Tamandua tetradactyla: one gene and its partners. Each later gene encodes a partner of the first gene's protein in a complex. Links are inferred from orthologs where the notes say so. Each region holds a gene or a part of one and is shown in the gene's direction. Other genes may lie near its edges. The genes, in order: GNAI3, RGS2, RGS10 and RGS8.

Evidence for each region.
Region 2: the proteins of GNAI3 (region 1) and RGS2 are in contact, whole or in part, in a crystal structure (PDB 2V4Z), measured with the Homo sapiens proteins. The link is inferred for Tamandua tetradactyla from reciprocal best matches to the Homo sapiens genes GNAI3 and RGS2. Residues at the interface, in NP_006487.1 of Homo sapiens: Val179, Lys180, Thr181, Thr182, Gly183, Ile184, Val185, Gln204, Ser206, Glu207, Lys209, Lys210, His213, Ala235, Glu236, Asp237, Glu238; in NP_002914.1 of Homo sapiens: Glu104, Phe105, Glu108, Asn109, Glu143, Ala144, Pro145, Glu147, Ile148, Asn149, Asp151, Phe152, Leu180, Asn183, Ser185, Arg188.
Region 3: the proteins of GNAI3 (region 1) and RGS10 are in contact, whole or in part, in a crystal structure (PDB 2IHB), measured with the Homo sapiens proteins. The link is inferred for Tamandua tetradactyla from reciprocal best matches to the Homo sapiens genes GNAI3 and RGS10. Residues at the interface, in NP_006487.1 of Homo sapiens: Val71, Val72, Ser75, Glu115, Val179, Lys180, Thr181, Thr182, Gly183, Ile184, Val185, Gln204, Ser206, Glu207, Lys209, Lys210, His213, Ala235, Glu236; in NP_001005339.1 of Homo sapiens: Glu62, Phe63, Ser64, Glu66, Asn67, Ala102, Ser103, Ser104, Gln105, Val106, Asn107, Val108, Glu109, Gly110, Leu137, Lys139, Tyr140, Asp141, Ser142, Arg145.
Region 4: the proteins of GNAI3 (region 1) and RGS8 are in contact, whole or in part, in a crystal structure (PDB 2ODE), measured with the Homo sapiens proteins. The link is inferred for Tamandua tetradactyla from reciprocal best matches to the Homo sapiens genes GNAI3 and RGS8. Residues at the interface, in NP_006487.1 of Homo sapiens: Glu65, Gln68, Ser75, Val179, Lys180, Thr181, Thr182, Gly183, Ile184, Val185, Gln204, Ser206, Glu207, Lys209, Lys210, His213, Ala235, Glu236, Asp237, Glu238; in NP_001095920.1 of Homo sapiens: Thr76, Glu77, Phe78, Ser79, Glu81, Asn82, Ala117, Pro118, Glu120, Val121, Asn122, Ile123, Asp124, Phe125, Gln126, Arg128, Leu153, Lys156, Asp157, Ser158, Arg161, Arg164.

What each region holds. Positions count from the first base shown.
Region 1 is NC_135337.1:13,327,862-13,335,209, reverse strand, and holds the start of GNAI3 (guanine nucleotide-binding protein G(i) subunit alpha-3), read left to right. Parts: upstream 1-4,343; 5' UTR 4,344-4,491; coding exon 4,492-4,609; intron 4,610-7,348. Other genes in the region: GPR61 (G-protein coupled receptor 61), read left to right, coding at 1-123. UniProt on the Homo sapiens protein: Heterotrimeric guanine nucleotide-binding proteins (G proteins) function as transducers downstream of G protein-coupled receptors (GPCRs) in numerous signaling cascades.
Region 2 is NC_135330.1:48,612,440-48,620,366, forward strand, and holds the start of RGS2 (regulator of G-protein signaling 2), read left to right. Parts: upstream 1-4,925; 5' UTR 4,926-4,970; coding exon 4,971-5,080; intron 5,081-6,069; coding exon 6,070-6,171; intron 6,172-6,275; coding exon 6,276-6,337; intron 6,338-6,926; coding exon 6,927-7,093; intron 7,094-7,398; coding exon 7,399-7,593; 3' UTR 7,594-7,927. UniProt on the Homo sapiens protein: Regulates G protein-coupled receptor signaling cascades. Inhibits signal transduction by increasing the GTPase activity of G protein alpha subunits, thereby driving them into their inactive GDP-bound form.
Region 3 is NC_135339.1:81,985,963-81,992,967, reverse strand, and holds the start of RGS10 (regulator of G-protein signaling 10), read left to right. Parts: upstream 1-4,000; 5' UTR 4,001-4,082; coding exon 4,083-4,131; intron 4,132-7,005. UniProt on the Homo sapiens protein: Regulates G protein-coupled receptor signaling cascades, including signaling downstream of the muscarinic acetylcholine receptor CHRM2.
Region 4 is NC_135330.1:37,511,794-37,519,058, reverse strand, and holds the start of RGS8 (regulator of G-protein signaling 8), read left to right. Parts: upstream 1-4,260; 5' UTR 4,261-4,330; intron 4,331-6,253; 5' UTR 6,254-6,355; coding exon 6,356-6,381; intron 6,382-7,265. UniProt on the Homo sapiens protein: Regulates G protein-coupled receptor signaling cascades, including signaling via muscarinic acetylcholine receptor CHRM2 and dopamine receptor DRD2.

The sequences.
Region 1 (7,348 bases):
TTTCGAATTCCAGGCCAGATAGCTGAGGAGACCTCTGAGTTCCTGGAACAGCAACTCACTAGCGACATCATCATGTCGGACAGCTACCTCCATCCTGCCCCCTCACCCCGGCAGGAATCATGATGGGTTACTGGATGTTTGGAGGGAGATGGGGTTGGGGGTTGGTTATGATTGCGAGGACCACCTTGTGGGATCACCTTTTCCCAGCTGGGAGGGGCCGGGACAGGGTCTCTGAACCCATCTTTTGATGAGAATTTCCTGGGTCAAGAACAGAGTCAACAGGTTGGACATATGACAAAAGTCCTTGGACTTGGCTGAGAGCCTTGATGACTGGGGGAGGGAACCCGGGAGTGGTGAGACACTGATGAGAGAAAAGGTCACAAAGGTGAGGTGAAGCCTCTCAACTGGGGAACTTTCCATGCCTCAGGCAGCAGGGAAGCTCTGTAAGGGTAGGATTTGAAGGATATAGGCCAGGTTTGGCCTTATTCTGGGGCCATTCAGAATATTTTATTTTTCAGTGTAATTATCCAGGGCAGTAACTGCACCCAAGCAAAGTAAGAAAATGATCTGTCTTCTCATCTCCTTGGTAGGCTTAACAAGTATTAAATTACAGCCAAGTGTTTCCATTTGAGTTAATAGATGATTTTCTAGTTTTATACCTGATATTTCTTTAAAGTGAGAGAACCAGTTGGATATATTTCTCTCTACCAGTTTTCTGAGTTTTACCAGAAGTAAGGAGAAGGTAGCAATCAGGGTATATGGAGTAGGAAACAGGAAAGCTGACTGCAGCTTCTCTCTTCCGCTCTTCAAGAACAGTCCTTTTGCTCTATTTCCCTGTTTCTCTTCCATGCCTGGAGACCAAGATTGAGGCTTAATCTCAGCAAAGGCAAAAATAAGACAGGGATGGCTTTTTCCCCCCTCATTTCAGAGTCAGAAAGCTGGGGGTAGGGGGACTAACATTTGAATTGCTAAGGTGACTGGGTACAAAGGGACCAGATAATCACCTTGATCAATAATACTGATCACCTTTTCCTTCCAGGAATGACCTCCCTGATCTTTCTCCTCATGGCAGTGACTCCACCTCCAGCCCTCTGGACAATAGGGTACAAGAGACTAAGGTTGGGCATGGGAAAGGTGGGGTTTCCATGGTCCATTAAATTTCTCCCTTTCATTCATCGTGCTCAAAATTAGCTTCATAACAAAAACTTAAATCTCTCTCCAGTATGCAGCTCTGGGTTGGAGACAGGGCACAGGAGTTGGGCTCAGCTTTCCACGGTTTGATTCAGTAGGAACTGTGTTGGTTGGTAGTGGTGGCCAACGCATGGATCAACCAAATTTTCAAGTGAAGGGGAATAACTGCAAACTGGACAGGATGTGGGACTACCTGTCTACCCCATTTCCGTCAATACAGTCAGGTGACACTAAAGAGTCACGGACAGCATGGTGGTGTGTCTGCATTTGAATAACGCCTGACTCAATGTTAATGGGGAAAATGGGATGGTGGGAGTGGGATAGTTTCCCCTTTGAATAGCCAATAAATAATTTTTATTATAAAAGACTATACTGATATCAACATTGACTCTATCAGTTCCACTCAGTGCATAATATTTGGATACCCATATCCCCTGGGACTTACAGAGAGGATGTGTGGTCACTGCCTTCAAGGAGTTCATAGTCTAATTTGATCAGATATATTGTACTTTACAGGGATTTACAGCTGGTAAAGCACTGTAGAAAATATTCAAGAAATAGAGTGGAGAATATATCCAGGGTTCTAACTTTTCAGAGTTGAGTCCATTGCAGCAAAATATCTACACTGAGGCTTACTGCAGATTGTGGAAAGGATGGGGGTTGTAAATGAAAATTCTCTAGTGAAGAAAGTAAAGAAAGGAAACTGAGCAAACCTTCCTTTTCCCCTCTTCACCTAGGAAAATTTCCAGGTTTCTGTCTTCCTACCATTTACTCCTCCAGTTTAGTGCCTACTATATTGAGGAAATCCCTTAGAAAGATAGTATATCCAGGGAGGGGAGTCCTTTGTGATTAAAAACATGTACTTTACTCCCCTCTCTCCTCCATTTTGAGGTAAATTCACACTGAGGAATTTCATTCCTAGATGGTGGGGGGAAACTATTCTTCCTAAAACCCCTGATCAGCTAGTAGACCCTAAGTATTGCCAGCAGGTGGCAGTATGAGTCCAGTGGAAATAGGAAAGGGGCGTATCCTAGGGGTGGTGGTGGGTGGTGTTGGCATTAAACCATTAAACGTCTGGCAGCCATTTTATTAATTTATTTTGCCTTTTCTTTTGGTTTTGCCCTCTAACCTTTCCTTCACATACATCAAAGAAGAAAGTTTTAATTGCAAGGATTTCTCTAGTTCAGACTGAAATTTCCTGACACTGTGATCTCACTAGCGTTTATTATAGTTTGACATATATGGGTTCACTTGCCATTTATTCTTCTCTGTCCAAGGGCATAATGAAAGAGACTCTTCTGTTATGCTGAGAACCTGCCCAACAATTTCAAACATGGTCACTTCCCAGTTTTCTAGTCACCAGAATAACCCGATAAAAATTTAATATGTAATCCTTAGCTCGGAAGCTATTCCTGGACAAAACTTGAACTTTCCAATCATTGAAGAATCAACAGATTGGGGAACCTATCTTGTCAATTCTTTTTGGCTTCCTGGTAGTGTCAGGGTGACTCCCAGTCTTACGTGAAAATTATAGATCCTCTCTTGTCAGATCTTCTCAATTAACGTCATATAGGGGCATGGTAGAAAAGGGGCAAATTTGGAGTCAGATCTAGTACTCACTGTGTGAACATGGGAAAGCTGCTTAATTTTCTCTGAGCCTATTTCCTCATCTGTAAAAATGGGGATAATATTACCTACCTCACAGGGTTGTTGTGAGGATTAAGAGATGAAACATGGAAGCACTAGCCTTACCTGGCATATAGGCACTCAATAAATATTGGTTTTTCTTCCCTTTCCTCTTGCCCTTTTTCCCCAGAAATATTGATTATGAAAAAACTGTCCCTTTCATCCTAAGAGTCAGTCTGGAATGAATGGGAGACTTTTCAAACTTTGAAGAATTGGCATTGATAAGAGTTATGGTGGGTGATGCAGTCTAAGGTGGCTCTCAAGGAATCACTCTAATTAATCAATCACCATATAAACGTTTCTGCTGGGAACCTTAGATCCTAAGGTTTAAATTCTATTAGGGTAATGAAATAATTTTTAATCACAGGCAAAGATTTTGGGATCTACAAAAGAGTCTTCCTCCTGAGAAATTATGGTGAAGACACTGAGGGGGGTATTTGTCAGTGAAAGAAATTTAGGGCATTTTCACACTAGTACTCAGGGTTACCTGTGAAAGGGTATCAGTCTGGGCTTTCACAGGGATTTACTTATCTTCAGGTGACACTTGAGCTGAAAGTCAAGCTTTACTAAAACTTCCCTTTTTGTGTGGTACAACAGGAAATTTTAGGAGTTTTACAGGCCGCAATGGGTGGTTTTGGAGGAGGGGCTGAGGGTGACTAATTTTGGCACAAGTCCTAAGCCCCTAACCCAAGACATCTGTAAACGCTATAATTGGCTTATATTGGGAAGAAGGGCAGCAAGCAAATTTTAAGCAGGAACTACACGCTTAATTTTCAGGTTACAGGGTATCAGTTGGTGATTGCAAATGGCCCTCAGTCAACATAAGAGCTGGGTAATTCCCAAGCCCACAGTGTAAGTAATGGCACAAGGACCACGATACACTTTGAAAGGAGGAGGCAGTGAGTCGAGCAGAGGGCAGAAAGGGATCGCTAACCCCCCCGCACGATTGGTGTTACTGATATCAGATGTGAGGCGTGGCCGGGGCCCAAGCTAGGCAGTTTGTTCCCATCCTATAGAACCTGGCTGAAACGACCCTGGAGGAGGATAGGATCTAAACTTGGGCAGGCCCAGATCTCTACCGCCAGAGAGCAAAGAAGCCTTCCGGTCAGGATCGATAGATTGCACCAGCAAAGCTCTGGGTGAGGGCTAGTCGTTCTTAACCTGGGAATTACACCCCAATCGCCACACCCACCCAGGTCCAAACTCTGCTGTGTGACGTCGGGAGGCCTCTAAGAGCTGGAGAAGCCAAGCCCGGGTTTGTCTATAGTTATGGAAAACAAGCAGCCGAAAAGGGAAAAAGGGACTAAGCTCGGGTGGCGTACAATTGGCTCCACAGGACCTCGCAGCTTCACGAACCACCGCCCCGCGTCGCCTCTATTCCCAGCACTTCCGTTTTCGTTCACCTCTTCTGTTCCCAAGCTAGAGATTTGAAAGGGGACGGCCGCGGGGCGTCTCCGGAAGTGTCGCAAACACCGGATATCCGTTTTCTCCGGGCTCTCCGGGAGCCTACAGAGAGGGCCGCCGCCCAGCAGCAGACGCTGTCTCTGTCGCTCGAACCGCAGTTCCCGCGGTGTGTGAGTGTGTCCGGGCCCTGTCCCCTCTCCCGCCGCCGCCATGGGCTGCACGTTGAGCGCCGAAGACAAGGCGGCGGTGGAGCGGAGCAAGATGATCGACCGCAACTTGCGAGAGGACGGGGAAAAAGCAGCCAAAGAAGTGAAGCTGCTGCTACTTGGTGAGGGTCCCAGGGCGGGGCCGGTGAGGTGGTCGGGAGGGCCTAGACATTTGGGGAGGCCTGAGGCGGGGGCTCACGTCAGGTCAGCGGAAAGTACCCCGATGGGATCTAGAGAGCGCGACGGACTTGGGGCGGGGTGTTGGGGTTGGTGGCTGAGGCCGGGAGGGCGTGATGAAGGGGTGGGGCTTTGGGGTTGTAGGAATTAGGCTGTAGAGGGTGTGACTCCTTGCTGGAATTGCGTTTAGCAAAGAGAATTTGGGAGCGTGGGGCGATAGGATATTTGGACTTTGATAGAAACATGGGACATGCCTAAAGGAAGAGCTGATATTAGGGAAGGTTTTGTATGGGGTTGGTGTATTGAGTGAGGACGCGGTAGAGTATGATGTGTTGGGCTTGTTTAATGGCTTGTGAGTTTTAATGACAGGATAAAGCTGGGAGACTTGAATGATTATTATAAATAGAGAGGCTGGGACACGGTGGTCACACAGGGATCCTATCGTGTTAGAGAGGGAACATTCTGAACTATTTGTAAGGTGGAGGAGCCTTCAGTTATCCAGGAACATGAAGGTAGGTGGTTGAAATGACAAGTTTTCTAGTTTAAAGAAAAAGACCTTGGGTGTTGACGCTATCTTTATACTTTACCCCTTTTTTCTATCATTTGTATTCTTTTAAGGTTTCATACCCCCCCTTTTTTTATAAAGAAGGGTGGATGTTGGTACCAGCTGAAGAATTTAAAGAATGCTTGTGTTTTGACAAAAGAGGTAGAGGGTAAAAGATTACACGTTGAGAGTTGCCGAATAGTTGCTCGGAATAGTGCGCTGGGAATGAAGGAGCTATTTTAGTATAAAATATGGAATTGTACGTTTTCTGTAAAGGTTGTGACAGAGCTCTGTGAACTATTTTTATCTTTTCTGGTCTCTTCAAACCAAAATATTGGCTTTTACTGTTTATGTTACCGGGCATTGGTTTTAAGTGGTTTTTATGTACAGTTGTATGCACTTTACTCAGCATGACTTAGTCTAAAAATTTTTGAGAAACTGGCTTCTAGAGGCTCAATAAATCATATAAGGTACCTTGACGTTAGCTTCCCAAGAAATCAAGCCACATTTCTTCACTATTAGTATTTTCTAGGGATCCGTTAAAGAAGAATAATTAGGAGTAATGATTTCTGTAAGCAGTAGAACAACTTTACTTTTTAAAACATTTGACTTTGGAGCAAAAATAGTTGCTTTAGGGAAAATGCCAAATTTTCTGCCCTGGAGGAGGGAATGCTCCACCATAGCTCTTGTCTTTTTTTGTATTCCAGGATGTGCCTGGTATTCCTGCTTGTCTCTTCTTGTTAACGTATTTGGTTGTTTGTAGGTTGAACAGGCTGTGTTAACAACTTATTTGGACATAGGGGGAAAGTTAGGCACTGGAGCTTGAGCGTCCAGTTTGAATACCCAAACTTTCAGAAAGCATAAATTCTAATTGTTCTAGACTGCCACTATATAATAGATATCATTTGTGGATGAGCACAATCCCTGGCACGTAGTTGATGTTTTTTAAATATTTGCTGTTAACCAGCAAGAGCCAGTTAATGTTGATATTGATCCTGGAGGCCTTTTAAATATTTAATATAAACCACAACACTCAAGGCATTGGCATTTTCTCTATTGATCAGTTGGTTATGAAATTAAAGGTGTATTCTTATCTTCTGTGAGTGTTTTAATTTACATTGATCTTCAGAAATCCTCGCAGGATATTGGCCTATTGTAATGTAGTTATAAACTGTGAGGCATTCTTCCAGATGGCAGGAATTGGCAGGCAGAACTTGGGCGTGCAGAACTTGTTCAAATGTCTAGAAAAATCTTTATTCAGGACTTTATAAATAGTGTATCTAATTAAAAACAAAATCAAACACATGATGACTTAGGGAACTTGTAGAGCAGTGAATAAAAATCAAACTACTAAAACATTTGTTTTGAATTTTTATCAGATTTATTATTTTTTAAGTGTTTTTGTATTCTTGAGCAAGTTCAGATAGCTTGCAGAGAGACGAATGCTCTTGCTTCAACTGTATCATAAGAAACATATGAAATTAAAATGATCTTCCTTGCTATTTCTGTAAGTAGAAGGTACCCGTCATGGTACACAAATAATTCTTTGTCGTAGAATACCTCCTTTGATGTGCGTGCAAGTCATTTTTACTTCATCACTGTGAAACTATAGAACTTAGTTAATTTGAGATCTGTCTACATTACCCTTGTCTCTCCTGGCCCATAATAGGTATTTAGTAAATATTAATTTATTTTCTTCTTTACATAGATGTAGCTTAGCATAGTGCTTAATAACGTGGGTTCTGAAGTCAGACTACTTCAAGTCTTAATTCCCATTTACCAGTTTTAACCTTGGGAAAGTGATTTATTCAGTTTTTTTCTCTCAGTTTCCTCATGGTTAAAACAGAGAAAATCAAGGTTCTTAGATTTGCTATAAGGATTAATTATAAGAATGTAAAGTAGAATACAGCTTGTCAAATAGTACTAGCTCAATGACAATTATTTATTAGTATTTATTAGTATTGTTTGTTAGTATTAAGCCAAAATGAATGTTAGAGATTCTAGATATTAGAGAAATTCAAATAAAGAAACCACTGTGGACAGAATTAGTTAAGGAAGACTTCAGTATTGGCAATTTTTCCTTTGTTATATATCTTTGATGTCTTTAGATGTTTTTGGGAAGCTCTTGATATGTCAAATT
Region 2 (7,927 bases), on another chromosome or scaffold:
TCCTGGTGCCTGCCCATGCAAAAAAAAAAAAGGAGGGATAGGGAATTCTCAGTGAATGATATTTAAACAAGCGTTTGAATTTTTGTATTAAGTATATTATGAACTTGGTATGCCAAATTTTCAAAACAGCAGTCAATAGAACAGTATATTCAATAATATATATATAATATATACATATAACTATATACATATGTGTGTGTGTGTGTGTGTGTGTGTGTATGCGTGTGTGTATAGTCAGGAGAGCATCTAAAAAGATGTCAACCCAATCCAATACAGGGGTTGGATCTCCAGCAAAAGCAAAACTCATACAGGCATTTATGGAAAGACATTTTACTCACATACAGAAGAGACAAAGCAAGGTCAGCTTCACAAGCTCCACAAAGTAAGGTCAGCTGGTTCCCCATAGCCAGCAGGTCTCAATCCATGGGCTAAGCAGGGTGCCGTTCTGAAAACAATATCCTTTTTCTTGTGTTTGTGTGCTGCCACAGTGGAGGAACTCCACCCCCTCCCCTCCAGAGACGGATATACCACCTGGATGTTAGCTGGATGTAGTAAAACATGCCCACCTGAAACATTTACATATGCTCAAAACAACAGGGGAAGAAATGTACTAGCAGTCCCCTTACCTACTAGGGATTTGTGTTTTATCCTGCCAGGCTGACATACTTGGTCCTGAGCACAGGATGTATTTGTGGGTCCCAGGGAAAGGCTGCAGGCTGGGATAGAACTGCCCCCTAATACACACACACACACACACACACACACACACACACGTACACATGTAATGACTTTCTACAAATTCAATGCACAGAAATTAAAATCCCAGGCAAAAGAACTTCCAGGAAAAAAAAATACCTAGCCTTGCCTCTTTATTTTGTAGAAAATAGGCCACCTATTTAACTTAGAGCAGTTACTGGTTATAAATAGAGCAACATTTATAAAAAAGCATTTATAACCACTTACTCTCCCCTGGGATTCTGTGTAGCCCAACGTCACAAAAGAGAAAGAAGCAATGAGCATACAATGGAAATAAATCCCAAATTTAGACCTCATATTTACGGTTCTTTAACTTACAGATCTAATAACAAAAAAGCTTAGTGGTATTTCAATATATGCTAGTGTTTTTATTCAGAAAACAATGTAAAACAAAACTTCATGATGTTCCTGTCATTGGTTTCCAAAGGGAATCCAGGTGCTCAGTAAGGAAAGGTCTATTAAATTTAAGTTGGCCCTGCCTGCATTTGAAGATGTACAACTTACCTCATACCATGGATAAATTCATGGTAGAACCAAGAAAGGGTTCTAAACGGAATTATCAATATAAGAATTGATAAAAATTATTAACTCTTCTATAATGCGTGTCAAGTATTCTCTTTAACCTCTCATTCCTGACAAAGACACTAATTTTCTCTCTTTTCAGCTTCTGAATAGGAAACTGCATTGTAATAAAGACATGATTTTTAAATCTCACCTCCTATTGGGGGAAGGAATTGAGTACAGAATCTTGTCTGGTCTTCTGTTCACTGGATGAAAAGAATACCTCACTAACAAAAGTTAAATTTGACGAAAAAAAAAAGGTATCACACTTCCTCAAATATAGTCCACCGAGTACTAAAAGTTTTCATTTTTTCCAATTACTTATCATACCCTTTACTACACAGGGTTTAATTTTCTAGTTTTTTCTTCCTTTTTTTTAACTTACCACACATGAAAGATTTCATAAGGTAAGCGACAGGTTTATAGCCTTTACAAATTCAGGAACTAAGATAACCTAGCTAAAATCAAAGCACAGATTAATAGAAAGTATGATCCCTTTGCGCTTTTTTAAACCATGTATCTTAGCTCCTAAATGTCTAAAACATGGGAGTTATTATGCATAAATATTTTTGCTAGTTATGATTAATAAAACTTGATTAATGATGGCTAGCATAGAGTGGGAGATGGGAAAATAACGGAATATGACAGAGGGGACGCTTGTCATATTTTCCCCTTGGTATTGTTAAAAATTTGTATTTTTTGCATATCTTTTTTGAAATTTAAAACAAATACCAAACAAGCTCAGGAACCACACTGAGAACCTATACCGCTAATGTGTTCAATCAGAAAACCTTTCCAGTAGAGGGCATGGTAGATTCAACCTGAAAAATGGATGGTTATGTCACTCTCAAGCTGCGGTTTAGCTGTGCAAACCTATTCCGCTGTTTCCACCGCAGAATGGAAAATGTGTCATGCTCATCTTGAGCAATCCCATTTACCTAAAAGTCATTATAACAACAAAAACAAACAAAAAAAGACGACAACAAGAAAAGGGACGTCATCAAATGTTGTAGCCTTTCCTTTAATTATAGTACTAAAGGTCTGCTAATCTTTTAAAAAGCCACTTTAAGGAGTACCTTTTTCACAAAAAGTTTACTCAGTCCGTAGCAGGTATTGCCTTAACTCTTAACATTTACATTCAGATTTATCAATCAACCACATAATTTTCAGGGAAAAATAAATTCTGCCATTTAACATCAGTTGTTAATTTGAAAAGGGTTTGTGAAAAAAGCAAATATATTAAACACTTACAGAACACTCAGGATAGTCTGTATTTAAACACCAGTTGTTTACATGCATACATGTATATTCACTTTTGTGACTATGTTGAGATGATTGAACCTCTGTGACTTGGAAATCTCTGATAAGTTGAAATGTTAATGCTTGCTTATTTTCCTGCCATATCGAGAGCACTTATTAAATAGCTATTGTGGTTAATAGTACAATCATAGTAATATTCTTTCATCAATTACAATAAAGGCACCACCCTAATGCAAGGTGATAATGTGGAGAAGGATATATGGGAATTCTGTATTTTCTGCATGAATTTTCTGTAAGCCTACAGCTTCTCAAAAAATTTAATTTAAAACTAACTGTTATAAATTTGATTCTGTACAAATCTCTATGACATTATCTTTCTATCTTAACAGTACTTAAGTATTTATAACCAAATTAGCTGAGTTAATTCTTTATTTTTCCACCATGAATAGCTATATCTCTGAACATTTCCTTTTCCACATATATACAAATTAATAACAAGTTTTGCTATAGCACTTTAGAATTTATAGAGGACTTTCACATAAGATTTGCATGATATCCTATGAGATTAGCAAGAAAGACACATTATTTTCCTTACAGATGAGTTGTTGCTGCTCAAGCAGATGGTGGAGTAACTGCCCCAACAGTTACTTGGTATTTATTGGTTAAGCTGAGAGTCCAGTTAGGTTTTCTAGCACCAAGTCAGCTCTCTCTCCCTGCTGCATCCTTGTTAGAAACCCTACTTTTCAACTGTCTATGAGTGAATTCTACTATTCTAGGTTCCAAGTGAAACAAATATTGAGGTTCATATTATCAAGAAAAGGCAAGTGAAAAAAGAAGAAATGTGAATTCTTTTAGAGCTGAAGGGAATACACTAGAGAAAAATGACATTCTCACATTTCATAAACATTTTATAGCATCTACTACCAAAATCTAACTGATTTTCCTTTCCATAATAGAGTACCTAACTGTTCTCTTTAGTAATGATTGCAGATTTTGCTTCCTCATCAAACATTGAGCTCTAAATACTGAAAAAAGCAAGGTCATTAGTTCCAATTTTCTTTTAACAGTTCTAATGCAAAGTTGGGAGAATATTTGCAGGCCAGCCAATAGCTTGCTGTTAATCTTACTGTGGAATTAGATGCTTGGTGGGAAAACCACTTGAATTTTCCAGTTACATTACAGTTCTGGCAATGCTGTTTTCCAAAATCAAATCATTCTGTGGCTGAGGTGATCTATTTCTCCTTGCTAATTAAGCTACTTTAAAGACTGCAGGAGTAGACAGAGATGAGTTTTTGAAGAACACATGAAACTTACTTAAGCAAACTATTAAATTTTCCTTCCTTTTTCTAATTAAGTGTTCTGGTAAATTCTAAGCCAACCAAAAATGACTCGTGGAAATTCTGCCTACTGGCGAACTTAAACTAGAATGATTCCGGAACATTCCAGCCTCCAGATCTCGATGGTTCCCTCTCTCTCAAGTCACCAAAAAGAGATCAGTGATTCCTGTTTTGGAAAGAGAGGAGGCCTGGGATTCCCTGAGGAATAACCCCGCAATCCCACGAACGTACCCAGCTGTGTCTAGTGGTAGAGCTCAGAATGCAAAAGCAATTTCAGCACTGTCATCTGATAGTCACTTTCTCCTGTTCCCTCCCTGTCTAATGTCCATTCCCCCAAATATTCCAAATGCCTAGGCAAGCTGTAAAACAAGTCACACCATATAAGCCCACGGGCCGTCAAGGTTTCAGGTTTCTCCTGTTCAGTTTCTTCCAGCAAATCAAGGAGAGGCACGAGCGAGAATCTCCCCGGCGCCCGGGTTTACTCCACAGATGGTCTCAGCTGAGTTGCTAGGGAAGTTGTGTAAACAACAAATGCGGCGCAGGCACAGGGCGCGCACTCAAACGAGGAAGAGAAACCTGTTAATTCAATACGAGGCAATGGCACTCTGGCTCGCAGCAAGCCACCTTTCCCTGCTGGGGAATCATCACTCCCGTTCTGGGGATGAGGAACACGTCGGGGGCGGGGGGTAAGGGACGGGGCAGCCCACCCGCACAGCCTCGGATCCCACCAGGTCGCCACCCCGAGCAAAGGTCGCCGGCGACCTGTCACAGGGCGAACTCTCGCCCCACCGCGGCCCCCGCCCAGCCGCCCATTTTGGCTCCACTGCGCACGAAGCCGGGGGCCGCCGACGTCAGCAGCGCCCCCGTTACGAGACCCTTCGCTGGCGGCCGTGACAGCCGCGAGCTCGCGCTGGCCCCGCCCTGTGCCCGTCAGGCGGCCAATCCGCGCCCCCTGGGGGCGGGGCGGGCGCCGGGAGGTTCCGTCCCTTCGCCTCTGCCTCTCATAAATACTGCGGCGCGCGGCCGAGCGCAGGCTGTTGGCTCGAGAGGACGATAATGCAAAGTGCTATGTTCTTGGCCGTCCAGCACGACTGCAGACCTATGGACAAAAACGCTGGCAGCGGCCCCAAGAGCGAAGAGAAGCGGGAGAAGATGAAGCGGACCCTGTAAGTACCGCGTTCTCCTTTCCCCCACCAGCTCCCACCCTGCGGGGCTCGTTCTCCCGGTTTGTGCAAATGCAGTAGAATGGTTTCGGCTTTGACTGTAGGAAACGATATCGCCTGCGTCTCTGCAGAAACAAAAATTGTGGAAAGGTTCATTGGCCAAATTAAGGCTAAATCTGTATTTGGGGGTATATAGTTATTTTGTTGCATGAGCGACGGATGACCAGGTAGTTGGTAGACGCCAGGAAATCGCGGCTTATTTTGTCTTTCTTGTTTTTGGCCCCTGCATTTAAAATGACATCAGAGATTAAATGTCAGCTGCGGCCGAAGCGCGTCCCCAACATTGAGTACTGATCAGCTTATGCAGCTGATGCTGGTTCTGAATATACTCCTTTTAAAGCTATTATTGCCTTTTAATTGAAGAGTAGACCTAACCCACTCACGACTGTGTAACAAACGATTGTTCTGTAGCATCTGCTTAAAATCGGTGCTGTAGTTGAGCAGAGACGAGAGAGAGAAATCACGCACACCTCTTTGTACGCAGCCTTTGGCTTACTTTGGGAATCTCCTGCTTTAAAAGTGGAAGGAAAATAAGTGGGTCTGTTAAAGGCAGTTCCTCTGTTGTTTTCATCAAGGGTGAAATGTCCTAGAGTTGTACCTAGCTTTGCAAAGAAACGGCCTGCCTTTTGCCGGCCAGAAGTAGCACCTGCCCTTTGAAGTACAAGAAATAATTCATTAAAATACCTGGGGACTTTAAGTGATTTAAGGTAGTCCTTCCTTTACTTATAAGACTGTTATGTTCAGATTGATGGATGAAACTGGATTTAACATTAAATGGGTAAAATTTGTCTCACTTGGAGAGAAATTACTTGGTTTTATTTGGCTTGTCTGTAGCTACTGGATGACTTTGGTAGAAATACATTCAGCTGCAGTAGCATTTTCAAGGGTTGCCTCTTAGTGAGTAACCTGGGTTTTGTTTTTGTTTTTTTAAGTTTAAAAGATTGGAAGACCCGTTTGAGCTACTTCTTGCAAAATTCCTCTACTCCTGGGAAGCCCAAAATTGGGAAGAAGAGCAAACAGCAAACTCTTATTAAGTAAGTAAAAAAAATCCTATACTTACAAATACGAATCTGTAGATGCTGGACTGAAAAGAGGAACTCTGATATACACAAGCTAATGTGCAGCGCTTGTCTTGCAGGCCTTCTCCAGAGGAAGCACAGCTGTGGTCAGAAGCATTCGATGAGCTGCTAGCCAGTAAATGTAAGTTAACTTCTTATATTTGATCCATTTCAAGTGTCACAGGAGTCTAGGAAGGTAGTGTCCACTCAACAGAACAGCAGTTTGTCTGATGGGAGTTAGACTGTACAATCACTGTAGCATAAGGCCAATTTTATTCTCATTTCCTATTTTCCGATGTTTCCAGGGTTAAACCATGTTTAACCATATATTCAGTCAAGATGGAGGGAAAATTAGCCTAAAAAAAATTAAAGTGGCAGTTACTCTTAGTTTAAGGGTGAGTCAGCTTTTCCATTGCAGACAATATTTTCTAACAGCTTAGTTCCCAGAGAATTATGGCTCTCCTGTAAGTATTTATTTTGCATTGATAGCAAAGTTAAGTTTTTGTATTTTTATAGCAGTGTGCCACCATAAACAGTTTGCTTGCTGGCATCTTAGCCTTTAAATTAAAGAGCTAAATCTGAGGATTACAAGTTTGAGTGAAATCTAGAAAATTACTATCATCTAGAAGTAATTAAAATATGGGGGGAGGGGAAGTACTACAAATAAAAAAATAAGAGATTATTTGGTCACTCTTTTTTTTCACATTGTGCATGCTTTTTTTTCCCTTCAGATGGTCTTGCTGCATTCAGGGCTTTTTTAAAATCTGAATTCTGTGAAGAAAATATTGAGTTCTGGCTGGCCTGTGAAGACTTCAAAAAAACCAAGTCACCCCAAAAGCTGTCCTCAAAAGCAAGGAAAATATATACTGACTTCATAGAAAAGGAAGCTCCAAAAGAGGTAAAAAAAAATTTAAAAAAATTCCTCCTTCACTAATACAGTGAAAAATATTTTTTAAATCTTTAGCACCAAAGTGAAATCATAACCAAAGGGATGTCAAAAGGATGGGGAGTGATGGTAGGAGGAATCCATCCCCTCCTCCCCATCCTAGTTTTCACTGAAGTTTCTCCAAAGACTGCCTGGGGGAAGCTAATCAGACATTATAGTTTGGGGTTTTAGTTTGTTTTGTTTTTTACAAATACTAAATAGATTTCCATATCTCTAACTCTGAGTATTAACTAAACCAATTTTCTGTTTTATTTCAGATAAACATAGACTTTCAAACCAAAACATTGATTGCTCAAAATATACAAGAGGCTACAAGTGGCTGCTTTACAACTGCCCAGAAAAGGGTATACAGCTTGATGGAGAACAACTCTTATCCCCGTTTCTTGGAATCAGAATTCTACCAAGACTTGTGTAAAAAGCCACAGATCACTACAGAGCCCCATGCAACATGAGATGAAAAAGGGGGCCAAAAAATGGAGAACTTTGCATTATTTTTCCTAAGGGGAAAGGCTGTGATCTGCTCAAAACCCCAACGACTGACCTTGGATTCAGCCTGGGTGTTTAGGAAACATCACTCAGAACTATTGATTCACAGTTGGGTAGTAAATGAGGAAGCTCGTAACAGTGTAGGAGAAGCTTGCATTGAAATGACTTCCCTCACTGTGCATAGAACACAGAGGGAATATGTGCTCTGAATCTGGTGCATCTCCCACTGGAAATGCAGGGATGTGAAGTGAAAGATACCATATGATATAGTTGATCCAGAAGCACTTAAAATCAATAGGT
Region 3 (7,005 bases), on another chromosome or scaffold:
AACAACCCTCCGTCCTCCTGGCCTTAAAGCTGCATCTCTTCAATCTCTGCTTTCGTCTTCACGGGGCTGTCCTCTGTGTGTCTTCCTATAAGGACATGCCTTTTTATAAGGACACTATTCATTGACTGTAGGACCACCCTTATTCTGTATGGCCACATCTTAACTAAACACATCTGTAAAGACCCTATTTCCAGATAAGATCAGATTCTAAGGTTCTGGGTGTTAAAGAATTTGGGGGGACACTATTCTCAACCCACTGCACATGACATGAATGTGTGACTTGTGAAATGCAGGGGGATCGAAGATGGGAGAAGCAATTGGTGCCCAATTTGGTCCTTCCTTAGGAACTTAAGAGTTTTAAGAAAGCAAAACTAGTGTTGCAAAAATGGAGGCTTAGATACTCTGTAGAATTAAACCTAGTAGAGATGTTGACCGGCTGCTCACTACTAATTGTTTTCCTGATTTAAAAGTATAAACACTGCAGAAATTTTGCAAAACAGGGACATATATTAATAAAAATTAAAATAAACTATTATCTCATTATCTACCAATGAATGCTAGTAGCATTTTGGTGTGGTTTCCTCCAATCTTTCTACACATGACACGTTATGTATTCCCCCCTTTCCTTGAAATTTTTTTCTGAATTTCTCTCATGATCTTTTCCAGGAAACTTTCATCCTAAGCATTGTTCCACATCACTAAATATTCTTCACACATTTTTTTTTTTGCAACTGTTAAATATTCCATTATAGGAATATACATAGGAATGTAACATAACCATTCCATTCGTGGACATTCACACTTATTATAAATAGCACACATAAAAGGAATGTTATATTGCACAACTTTGCACATAAACCTTTGCATCTCTTATTCTTTCTTTAGCATGAATTACCAGTTGTAGAATTAGCCACAGGACTAACAGGTTTAAACATTTTGAAGGTTCTTATGCATATTGCCAAATATGCATCTTAATGGATCTGCCTCTCTTGCCTTCCAGAGAGGTTGTAACAATTTACTTTCCTTCTTTCATCATGGGGAGTGTCCTTTGCTCCAAATTGTTACTAACCCTGGCAACTTTCTATAATTAAAAAAAAAAAAAGCCAGTTTTCGCTGGGTGTAGGCTAAAGCTTATTATTTATTAATACAGCATTGTAAAGGGAGCAAGAGTAATTCAGATTCCAGTAATTTTTTGAGTGCCTACATGTGCTGGGCACTGTGCCCGATGCTTTCTTGTTTACTGCTGTTGAACACCACACCCTTAGAAGGTAGGTGGTATCTTTTCCTGGTTCAATCCCATGAGGCTCTGTGTTTAAGGACACACAGCTGGTTTGCCACATGGTCAGGTCAAATGCACAGTACTCTTAACTTCAAGTTGAGGACTTATTTATTTACTTATTTTACTAGATCTTACCTGCCTCATCTGGCCTAGAATAAGGTTATTTACATCTATATTCTGTTAATTATATCTATCTGTCCTCACTATAAAATACTCTAAATATATCCATAGCTTACCAAGTTTTAAAGTTCCTGAGTGCAATAAAAATTTCGGAACTCTCAAGTCATGAACACTCTGAAATTCTGCAACACCAGAGGACATCCAGGGCCCTTGCTCTTTGATCTGTCACTGATGGGAAGGCTCCACCACCGGGGGAAGACAGGACAATCTGCTTGTCTTCTTCTTGCCCAAGATGTGGCCAAGATGATCTGTGAGGGCTCAGGAGGTGCTACAGGAAGTGGATGCTGAACTGAGAGGAGTGATGCTATTGGGATAGTGAGCATCTTCAGTCCAAGTGCAAACCATCAGCAGAACTTACTCATGCATTGATTGTGTGTGCACTGCATGTGTTTTCTTTGGCAAGCATTAGAACCTGCGAGGCTTCATATTTTTATACATGGCCTTCTGCACAATCACATTGTAAACTGGCTTTCACATACCTAAGACACTTAAAACAGGTATTCATAGGGATTCTGTGAAAAAGGTCCATGTTCCAAAACAAAAAATTTAAACTATGTATCCTATGCCTCAGTCACTGGTCTTTATGTTCGTACTTACTGTCTGTTAAGCTAGCAGAGCAGTAAAAGTGATTTGACATGGTTATATATTCTCTTTATTTTAGAGAGGCCCAGAGTTCATATTCATAGCATGTGCCACGCCACACCGGGGCTTTTCAGGACAGGGTGTGGTGGACCTGGCATTGAAAATAAAAATTTAGCTGGCTGTGCCTAAGTTTTACCTCATTGTGGTCTGCTCCTTATTTCCTGAGTTAGGATTACTTATAATTTGGTTTTCGGACAACTTTTCTGGAGAAGCATGCTGCACGAATTCCCTTGTTATTATGAGAAGGCGGTGACCTCTTTGGGAACCAGGCCTCTGCCAGTGTTTAAACAATCCTCCTTACAATAGGTGAAACTTCTGCGTATAGTTTTAAGAGGCTGCGTCCGCTTACAACGGATGGACGCCCCTGGTGAGCCCGGCCCCATCGCTCCGAGAGCTCCCGAGGTTTGCCCGCAGCAGACTGGACCCGCTAGGCTCAAACCCAGTTCATCACCACCCGGGGGTCCTCCAGGCCCAGCTGGAAAGCCCCGTCACCTTCAGGAGCCCAGAAACCTCGCCCGGCGGCCGACAGCGAGAGTGCTCAGACTTATCCAGAGAACAAAAAGTCCGGAGGGTGGGAAGGACAGAGAGAGAAATGGGAGTGAACCAGAAAAGGACAGAGATGGGGGTGGGGGGTGGGATGGGGGGAATTGGGATGGGGGTGGTGGTTAGAGGGAGGGAGGGAAATTAGCGGAAGGGAAAGCTTAGAATAGAAGATATAAAAGAAAGTGCCAACTAGTGAGAAAACTGTGAAAGGAAGGGGTGGGGTGGGGGGTGGCGGCGACTGGGGAGCGGTTTAGAAAAATAGCAATTAGTACAGCTAAAAATAAAGACCAATTTAGAGACAAAGCCAGCTACAGAAGGAGAAAAATAAGACTCGCCAAAAACACAATCTTTCGCAAACCAAATGCACAAGAAAATGGGGCTGATGGCCCGCTCTCTTGGGCTATTGTGCAGATGAATTAAGATCATAATGAGAGTGCAGCGCGCGGCGCCGAGCAGGTGACCCGCCCCGGGAGAGGAGAAATCAGGACGAGGGCGCAGCGGGACCAGAGTGATCTGGTTCTTTGAGCGCAAAGGCCCCTCCGGAAGCTGCGTCCACTCGTCCCCAAAGTTAGCGAAGTGCCCCAGTCGGGCCGGTGCACGCGGGAGGGCCGTCGCTCCGCAATGGGACCCGCCGGGTTAGTGCACAATTCCCTCGAGGCCGGCCGCTGGATCCTCAAGGCCAAGGAGCCCGCGCGGCCCTTTACGGGGAGGGTGCCCCTGGAGACGCTCCACCTGCATTAGCGGCCGTGGGGGTGGGGGTGGGGGTGGGGTCGGCGTGCACCGAGCCCGCGGTGGGGGTGAAGGGGCGGTGGGGAAGGGATCCGGGGCGCTGCAGGTCGGGGCGCACCGGGTTCCCTGATCCCGGGGACCGAGCACCCGTCTGCAGGGCGAGCGAGGCCTCTCGTACTCCGCTTCCCGTCTGTGAGCCGGGAGGGATCTCTGCCGGCCAGCCCGCGGGGCTCGGTGGGCCGCAGCCGCGAAGGCGCGCAGGGAGCGCGTTTCCTCCCGGTTGCAGGGAGTAGGTGGCAGGCCGGGGTGGACGCCGAGTGGGGCGCAGGGCGGGCCGGAGCCGGGGCGGCAACTGGAGCGAGGGGCCTGGGGACGCGCGAGCAGCCTCGGCCCGGTTCTTGAAGTCCGGGGCGGCGCGGGCTTCCTCTGGGTGCGGGGTCAGCTCCAGGAGGCCGGGGGACACCGCGAGCCGACCTGCCCCGCCCTGGTACCCAGGGGCCCCGCCGGAGCGGGGGCCGGCAGCGTGCACCAAGCGCGCCACGCGGCGCCTGGCGAGAAGGAGGGTGGCGGGGCGGGGGCGGCGCGCCGGGGCGGTGCTGAGCGCAGCTCCTCCTCCCGGTCGTCGTCGTCCTCCTCCTCCTCGCCTTCCCGGGGCTCTGCCACCGCGCCTCCGGGCTGCTCCTCCTTCCCTTCCCGGGCGCCGGCGGCGATGTTTAACCGCGCCGTGAGCCGGCTGAGCAGGAAGAGGCCGCCGTCAGGTAAGCGAGCGGCTCCGGGGACCCCGCGGGTGAGGGGTCGGGCGCCGCCCACCACAGACATCCTTCCCTCCCTCCGGGGCTCGGGCGCGGCTCGCCTCTGCCGCCCGACGGCAGCCCCGACAGACGCGCCACTTCTCACCGCTGCGACCCGCGGCCTCGCGGTCGCATCCGCGACGACAGCGCAGAGCCCGGGAGATGCGCTCCGGGGAGGAAGTTTGACTGAAAGAGGAACAGCAGCCGTTTTCTTTTTAGTGAGCGTCTGGGAGATAAAGGAGATGCGAAACTTCCCCGAAACTTTGGAGGTGGTGTGGGATCTGGGTTCCTTTCTGGACTTCTCTGTCCCCGCTGCCGGCGCTGGTGGGAACGATGCTCGATGGGCGCCCGGAGGAGGCGCGGCTGGACCGCGGGCATCCAACGCGCAGCCTGGCCTGCAGCGCCGCGGGCCTTCAGTTCTGCCCTGCGGAGCCGAAATGGGGAGCTGTGAAGGTGGGCGAACGACAGATGGAGAAGGAGCCATCTGTAGATCGAGCGGGAGAAGCGCTGGTGTTTCGAAGGATTCGGCCTGGCTGTCACGTTCTGAACCTGCCTGAGTTCCCATTTCGAGCAACTTGATAGGGCAGAGAACCCACGGTGAAGATTACACCATACGCTTGATTCCAAAAGCCTCTTACCTTTTTCGTTCATAACAATAGCTGCCAGCCTTTGGACGCTTAATGTGGGCTGGGGGCTGTATCCACCACGTTCTATGACTTGTCCCTTCACCCCTAGAAGGCCCTGGAAGATAAGTATTGTTAGTGCCACTGATTGAGGACGAAACTGGAGCCCGGAGCTGTTAGGTACCTTGCGGCAGATCACGTTCAAACCCTGGTTTGCTTGGCTCCGGAGTTCAGAGGCTTTATTCCAGGATTTGCTTCTGCCTGGTACTGAGAGTCGGTACATGTTATTCTGGGCCCTTACTTCACTTACCGTGTTTTATGAGGGGCATTGTGGTTAAGAGTATGGACTGCTAAAGGATTGCCTGGGTGGAATCCCACCTCCAACCCCTTACAGCCCTGACCTCTCCGTGCCTCCCTGCAGATAAAGATCTGCAAAATGGGCACAATCATAGTTACCCTTCTTTAAGCACTTAATTGGAGCAGCCACCAATTATACACCACCCACCAATTTATGCAAATCATCCCATTAAATATAAGTGCAGTCTTCATAGGGTTATTGTAAGGAGCTTAAATTGTTGCCCAACACACAGTAAGTGCTGAATTAGTGTAATTGTCCCGTAAGCATTTTCATGTTGCATTTGAGTTAAAGGATTCTCTTTTGAGTGTGAATTCTATCCCTCGCCTATTGTTGGGCATTCACGGGATTGGACGGAGCCAACACTGCATCCTTCATTCTCAGTCCAGCCACCCTGAGCAAATTACCTGAGCTCTCTGTGCCTCTGTTTCCTGAGTGTGCTGGAGCTGGCTCACACTGGCTTGTGAGAATCAGTTACAACTAGAACTGAATTATGGGAGAAACGTGGTTTGGGGATGCTGTTGCCTGCGGCCAGATTGCTCCCCAGGAAGACCAGGGGCAATTTTAGGGACATCAGTGGAACGTACCTCTCTCAGGTAACACATTAGAAGGCTGATGAAATGTGGTTTGGTCTCTGGTAGATGGGGCAGTAGCAAAGCTTCTAGATCACTGTTGGATGCCTGGACTCTGGGAGCCCAACTTCCTTGAGATTTTTTGGTTTAAAGTCTGTCCACCTGATGGGAAGGGACAGGTGAGCCACTGACCAGTTTGGTCATCACTGAGCAACAGGACAGGAAGGGACCAAGTAAGAAGAGGGCAGAGTGAGCCCAGAGGTGGGGTTACTGGGAAGCCAGCTGTGTGGCCCCTCACTCACATGTGCCCCTTCCAGGCTCTGTAGTTTTTTTTTTTTTTTTTGTAATCTTGAATTATTCTTCCTAAATAGGGCTCCCCAAATTATATAAGTTCCAGGCCCCGCGTTTAAGCAGGACCTCTGATTTAGGCCTGGTTGTGATCCTGGTTCCTCCAGCACTTCCTGCTTTAGACCTTTCATGCTTTTCAGCAAAACCCTACAAATGGCAATGTCTTTAGGGTGAGGGTTCTCAGTCCTTAACCCCTCCTTCCAAAGTTCAAAGTGGGGTTCCTCTATTCTTTCTTCAAGGTTCCTCAAGTGTGTCCCACCAACCATGTCGGGTGTGGAGGGGCTTGATAAAATGCAGCTTCCCAGGCCCACTGACTCAGTCTTGAGGACGAGGGGGAGAGGAGGGTGCATTTTCAGCAAGCCCCCCCCCAATCGAGTCTTGTGCCACTGAGGTGTGATGATGCCCAAGGATTCTGTCTACTCACCCTGCTCCCCCCACCCAAAGACTTGCCCTGGAAAGCTGCTCACCTGAAAAAACAAAGTCCAAGCTATATCCCCCCCAACCCCCCAACCGGAAGGGTGGTAGTGGGGGACCAGGAGTCAGGGGGTGGGGGAAATGACCTGTCAGGGGAATTCCCACACCTGCCCTCCACCCTGCCCATTTCACCTTGGCCATTAAACCCTTGGGAACATTTTCAGGTTTATCCCCAGTCTTGTTGTAGTTGTTGTTGTTTTTTTGGTGGGGTGCATGTTCCGGGAATCAAACCTGGGTCTCCCGTATGGAAGGTGAGCATTCTGCCACTGAACCACCCGTGCACCCATGTTTTTAGTTAAAAACGACAGCCCGCATAGCAACTCAGTGGCCTTGTTTTAACAACCCAGCAGCTGGGCGGCCTTGGCAGTTGGGAAAACCTTCCCTGAGCAAAGTCACTGGCCCGGGTCTGCTGCTTAGGCAGGGAGAAGCGGGCCTGTCTGCAGGGACAGGGTGGCAGGGCCAGGGGCCC
Region 4 (7,265 bases), on another chromosome or scaffold:
CCCTTCTGATTGAAAGAGTGCTGAGAAAGCTTTGGAAAGGAGGCTTTTGTTTTGTTTTGTTTTGTTTTGTTTCAGTTTGGAGGTGTTGTGCTTAGAGAAGGAGCTGGGAGTTTACAAGCAGATCCAGGGTGAGGACATTCTGGGCAGAGGGAACAGCCTGAGGAATGAGGCCTGTGTGTGTGTGCGTGTGCGCGTGCATGCGTGTGTGTGTGTGTGCATGGGTGCATGCATGCAAGGGGATATAAGACTGGACAGGTAAATGGGACCAATTTATGGATGGCTTGGAGTATCTGGCAGGACAAGGGGCTGCAGTGGGGCTCACTAAGGTTCTCACACAGATGAATCACTTAACGGTATCTGTCACTTGAAGGTGTCAGCCTTGTAACTTTGTTGTGAGAATTAAATACAAATGCAACTGCTTTGTTTAGCATAGTTCCAGTCACATAGTAAGTGTTCATTAAACATTAGCTTTGTGCCTGCGTCCTAAGGAGGATTATTCCCCTGACAGTGGGTGACTATGGCTGTAGTGTACTGTCTGAGAAGGTTTGTGGGGGCTGGGGGGAGACCGAAGGTGGGAAGATCATTTATTTAGGAGGAAGTGGGGAGGGCATGCACTGTGCCGAGCACTGAATAACCTCTGACGCTGCAGTGTCGATGGATGTTCAAGAGTGAAGTTGAGAAATATTTTGGAAATGTAATGGCAAGAGCTGGAAACCGATTCAGCAAGGGGAATGGAGAAAAAGAAGCCAAAACTAAACTGCAGTGTTTAGCCAGAGGCATTAGGACACAAGGATGTCATGAACACAGATGAGCTGGGAGGCTGGAGGATTTGAGGGGAAAGGCGGTGGTTTCAGATTCATTAGAACCGCAGGTTTGGAGGCGTAGGGAGCTGTCCAGCAGACCTTTGCAAAAGCAGAATGGGGCTTAAGAGAGGCAGGATCAAAGCACTGATTCTGGAATGCAGCAGTGTATAGAACGGGAGCCTGTAGAGCAGCAAGTGCAAAGGTGAAGGGCAACCTGAGAAGCAAGAGTGGGGCTTGAAATCATTGTTTTCTGCGGGAAAAATGTGAGTCGTGGCCAATTGATATGGCATGTTCCCAGACTTCAACCAACAACTGAGGGCCAGTACCCTGATAAGAATCCAGAACTCTACATCCCTGGGCCCAGGGAATTCAGAGTCTGAGTAGGTGAGTTCATTTCTGATAAACATGCCAACCTACCTCCCTTTTCCTGATTGAAGGAGTCCCAGCTCTCCTCGCCTCTCTTACTGGTCCCTCCAGAAGGAAGCCAGTGCTACCATGCTCAATTTAGGTTTAGCTTGATAACCAACCCCCTTCCCCCTTGTTCCCAGAGTTCTTTCTGCACCTGCCTCTACGGGCAGGTTCAGTTAGAGACCTCCGACGAGAAGGGGCTGGACTGGGTTTGTGCCTTCCAAATTGGGGCACCTTGTGGTTACTCCTTGGCAGTTAAAAGTGTTTTGGTTAAAAGGTTTGAACTAGTTTTAATTTTCTCTTTTTTTGCCCATGCTGTATGTGTGTCAATACACTCTTGTCCTTCCCCTCTTTTTTCCCACTCACTTCCTTTAAACTTCACTAATTACCATATCTTTCCTTAAACATTTTGGGTGGGTTTATTACCTTTCTGGGACGACATTATTTCTCTAAAGGCTAATTCAGATTCCGATGACTGGAAATATTTGTCAGCTTCCCCTAGAGCCCGTCTGCTGCTCTCCCCTATCCCCTCAGTGGCTTTGATTCCTGGATATCAGACTTGAGGAAAACTTTATTCAATCACTTTAGCACTGATAGAGAAAAGTCCCACAAAGACACTATCTTTGTGTTAAAGTGGTTCAGTGGCTGGAGGCACCAGGTTTGGTATCAGACATCAGATCTGCCGCTAATTTATGACTTGTTTCTGGTTTTTCTCATCTGTAAAACGGGGATGATAAAGGTATCAGCCCTTGCAAGTTTGTGATGAGAATTAAATAAGACAACATGAGCACAATGCTTAGGACAGTGCTAGCACATAGTAGGTGCTCATTAAACATTATGTGTGTGGGTGCAGGAGTGGAGTCTCCTTATGGTCTAAAAATAGCTTGGGTTAGGTAAGTACTTGTCAAAGGGCTTTTATTCACCAGTTGACCTGTGTACTCATTTCTTATGGTACAGTGTGTCAGGAAAATGTCCAGAAGTGAAAGATCCTTTTTCTGCTTAAGTTCTAAACCCCAGCTAGCATTACAGTTCAACGGGTTTCCATGAGGAATGGAAAACTCTCATTTTATAACACCAAGCCTCCTTTGCCTAATAGAGGGGCACCGTGGACATTGTCAGAGAGAGACAGCGAGTCACTGTGGAGGCAGCATCAGAATTTTTATTTCATCCTATTAGCAGGCAATGAGTAGTCGTGGCAGAATCATTTCACTGCACAAATACAGATTATGCACCACTAGATCTGACAGGAAAAGCTGCGTCCTAGCATGGCGTAGTAGAAAAAGCTCTGCTGTAGGAATCATAAGACACAAGTTCTGGTCCTTGTGCTGTCTCTAACTTGTTGTGTTACTTGGAAAAAAGTACTTGACCTTTTCTAGCCTCAAGTTTCTCTTCTGTAGCACAGGGATAATAATACCGTCTTCCACTGTGGTATGGGATTGCCACAGGAATGTCTTTTACATTGTAAAAGGTTCAACAGATGTAAGCTATTATCTTTATTATAAAGCCATCACTTTCTGTAAAAATTTCTGCTGCCTCTAGAAAATACTGCCTTCTGGGTTTCAAAATGACTTGCAACAAGGCGAGGCATATTTGGAGCTAGTATCTGAGTGGGAGCAGGAGATTCAGCCTTAGAGGCCAAGAGAGTAATGACGAGAAGGTAAGCTTTATTCTAGGGCAGTGGTTCTCAAACTTTCACATGCCTCAGAATCGTGTGATGGTTCTGGAGGGCTGGACCCCATACCCAGAGTTTCTGAATCTGTAGGTCTGGAGTGGGGCGTGGAAATTTGCATTTCTAGCATCTTCCCAGGTGATGTTGATGTTTTTGGTCCAGGGACTACATTTGCAAAATCAGTGAACTAGGGCAAACGAAACAAAGATTCTTCTTTCTGGGACTGAAATAGTCAGTCTGAAGGTCTATGTGAATAAGGAAGATGGGAGGGAAAAAACAAAAGCCAGAAAAATAGGAGTACCATGCAGATTGGGCAGAACAAAGGAAAAAGTCTCACTCTGTAACAAATGCAAGTAGGGGGAGTTGCTAGGTGATGGATGAGAGAGAGGTGAATTTCCACTGTAGGAAAAGCCAGGTTAGAGGCAAGAGCTCAGAATTGGAAATATGCATGTTTGGGGAGGCTGAGGTGGAAATGTCTCATTAAGAAATGGGGAGGGGTGTAGTTGGCGCTGGGGTGGGGTGGGGGGAAGAAGTGGGAATGGGCAGGGAGAGAAATGCCTTTGTAGAGTATGGGGGACAGCTGAGATGTGGCAGAGGGGGTAATTTCAGGGCTGTGCAGTTTGGCTTGGTAGAGCGGCGTGATAGAAATTGGGAGAAAGGGGGTGGAATTTAGATGTGTGACCTGCCCCGTAGCTTTCTTGCTCTCTGCATTTATCACATCACATCACACCCAGCAAGACAGCCCCCACCCCCCCCCCCACCCCCTTCCTGGCTCATTAGGAGATTTGATTCGGCTTGGCTCCTGCCGTCAGCAGCTGTCTGGGGCAAGATCTTTATGCTCCCTGCTCCCCGAGCACCAACCAGCCTTCAGCTAGCAGCAGCAGAGCTCATTAGGAGAGCACCCTGGACACTTGATTTTCAGCCCATTGGTGGCCAGAAGGAGTTAACACCTCCAGCCTCGCTGCCCTCTGCACAGCCTCTGGGTGTAGAGGAAGGCGGCTTTGGGTAGTGGTGACTTCTGCCTGAGCTGCAGCCAAAGGAGCAGGGAAGCGGGTTGGTGAGGCTGAGGAGGAAGGTGCGGGAGCAGTGCCAGGCGAGCTCTGCTGGGGGCACCTCCTGCATCCCGCCAATGAGGACGGGCGGGTAGACTGTGCCTGGAAGCCGAGCCGCCCGCTGGGTGTAGGCTGCTTCAGGATTTACTGGATGTGAGGAGCGGAGAGAAGAGCTTTCAGCGGAGCTGCTGGCTGCCTGGCTCAAGCGGTGGGAGGTGGGTTGTGCATGTGCGTGTGCCTCTGCATGTGCCTCGGCGTGCATGCACACAGGCCCTTCACCGCCAAGGATTTGACTGCTAAAAGAAAAATCTGCTCTTTCCCCAGAGCTCCTTAACTCGCAGCCTCTCTGATCATCCAGTTGGCAGGGACCCGCAGGCCATGAGGACTGGTCAAAGACAGTGAGTATTGCTTTTGCTTTTCCTCTTTCCTCTCCAGGGTGTCTGTGTGGGCTGATTGCATTATCCATATTTAATTAACCTGCCTCTCCATGCATACTGATTGCTTTCTCCCCTCTGAGGCTCTCAGTTTCTCTTCCCCTCTTTATACATCTTTGCGCTTAGCTTTTAACCTTTGTTTTTTCTTTAAGTATCCTCTTTTCTATTATGTCCTATCCTTTCCACCCCAGAGTCACCTATAACTTGATACCCACCCACAAGAGCATATGGGCTGTGTGTGCAATCATGTCCTTGGCCTTCTGGATTTTGGGTAATCTCAAACTGTGTGCCCCATGAGTCTAGGGCCACATGGGAGAACCGCCCGAGACACTGGGATGGACAAGGAAGCTGGGGTCACAGTGTACTGCTGATTCTTATTTAAAGGAGTCCAAAGCTGAGCTCATCAAAGAGATGGTGGGGGGTCTGAGGGGCAGCGATGGACAGGGCTAGATCCGGAAGAGAGAGAAGCAGGCAACCAGTGCAGGCTGATGGTGGGGATGGGAGGAGAGTGAGGACGCGGGGATCCCCGGCTCCAAATGACCTTGTCTGCTCTGCTCAGTCTGTGAGTAGCAGTCCCTGGGTCTGCTTAGCTCCCAGGAACTGAAGGACCCGGGTGTGGTAGTCCCTCTTCCTTAGGGGGGGCTATATCCCACAAGCCAGAGAGAGTGATGCTTGGGTGCCCCAAACATGATTTCTGAGGATCCCCGTAGAAGTAAAGGGTTTTGATTCCCTAACTACTGGGCAAGCAGGGCGTGGGCCTGGTTAGGACAAAGATTTTAGGAGGCACCCCTGCTGTTAGGCAACACCATCCGTGCTCAGTCTCCTGAGGAGGAACCTTTGCAAAAAAGTCTGATTTGGGGGAGGGTTTGACAAAGCCACCTCTTCATTTTATTAATTATAGCATTATCAAAGAAGTAATTTTTAAAAGTATTTGTGAAATGTTCAGGGTAATATCAAAATAACTTAAATGGCATAGCTCCAACAGGAGGAGCCTTCTCTATCTAAATTAGGTTTCCTTTAAAGCGATTCTGTGTTTGGTGTGCAGTTCCCCAGGGATCCCCTTTATGGATAGGCTGATCTCTTCACGGGTTTCTCCCCATCGCTTACCTTCTGTGGGAACAAAGGGTTTGAAGCACAGAGAATGGGACCCTCAGGAGAGAGAGATTGTAAGTCAATCAGCCTTCAACCTCGTGTCCCCTTTCCTGATGTCCCTCCCTGCTCTGGGTCAAGAACGGGCCTGTCCCCGGGCTCAGGAAGGTCCGGTGGCCTCCAATGAGCAAGAAAGAGAGGCTTGCATATTCATCTCTTCAGCCTGCACATGTGCTCCTTGCACAGGAACAAGCCTGTGGGGTGACAGGGCCCGGCAAGCCTCCGTTGGAGTTTCCCCATCCTTCCTCCCTCTCCCGCCTCCCCAAAGCTTCACACACTCTCACCTTCTGGAACAGTCGGAGGGAGGCAAAATCAGAACTGCACCCAATCAGATCATTTCAGAGCAAGCGCTCGCCGCCCAGCCCCCTTTCTCCCTTTGCTGGCTGGTCATTTGGGCCCCCTCTCTAGTAAGAGAGAGGCGTGGTAATTTTTGGTGTGCCAGACTCATCCTTTCCCTGGGGCACATGTCCCATTTTACCGTTGATGTCTGGGGTTGGAGAAATGACAGCTCCTGTGAAGCTACTTAACAATTTGTTCTTATCAGTCCTTGGTTGGTCTCTCACCGACCAGAACCCCCTGCTGAGGTGCAGTAGACCTTTTTAGGGAATGGGATGTGTATGTGTGCGCTGGTGGTGGTGGTGGGGGTTCCTATGGTGGAAAGCCATTTGAGAGGGTCTATCTAGTGCAGTCAGATAAGAGAGGGTCCCCCCCCCCTTACAGCAGATTCTTTGATTTTAGGTGAGAGGACGTGAAAGGGCAAGCCCTCTGCCCTGCAGTCTTATCTCCTGTCCTGACGCCCCTGCAAGCCAGCTAAAGGGTTAACCATAAGTGGATGCCTGTATGGCTGCCTTACTGATGCCACGGAGGTAACTGATCAATAAGCTGTTTCCTTGCCCTGCCCTTTCCTCTTTTCTCCAACTTCCCACCTCCCCTGCTGCTTGAGCCTGGCCCAAGCGTTCGAATTCCATGGGTGATCCACCTGCGTCCCTTCCCCTAGGCTTCCTCTTGTGCTGTCTTCTTACTTGGTGTGTTTCTTGCAAAGTTGTGGCCTTGCAAGAAGGAACTGCCTTCGTTCCAAGCCTCCCACTGACTGGTGCGATGCCTTGGCAATGACTTATGGGTTGGGATGAAGGACTGTGCATGAGCTCGTCTTGAACCATTTAGGCACCTCTATGAGTTTACTGGGACAGGAGCTGCGGGGAGAAGAAAAATGAGGACAAGCCAGCCTCGTTTTCTAAAAAAAAAAAAATGTAATTTTGACCTTTGGCTCTTGCATTTGCTTTGGTTATTTCAGACCTAACATATTTATAACTGAGAGCTCAGCTAGATAAGATGGAAAATGAAAAATCATTTTGTCCCAAAGAATATCTCGTTGAAAATTTCGACAAACTATGCGGGAGAATCACAATTGTTCTGGTGACAAGGAACTCCCTTTACACTGGCCCCTCTAAACCTTGTTAAATAGCAGGCAGGAATTTGCCACTTTTTGAAAGTCCTTTTAATTGCTTCTTGGGGGCAGTGACCTGACTGTTTTATGATTGATGATTCTGAGACACAGAAAAATGAACCAACTTGCTGAGAGTTGAGTTCTGGCCTATGGTGCAGCCTGAGCAGGACCCTTGCTTGAGTTCACGGGCTGTGTCATCGCATCCTGTGATTTGTAAGAGAGAGCAGATGCATTAGATGTTCCCCGCCTCCAGAGCGAGACTGGCCACAGCTGATGCTTTGAAATAGATGGCTTCACAGTGCG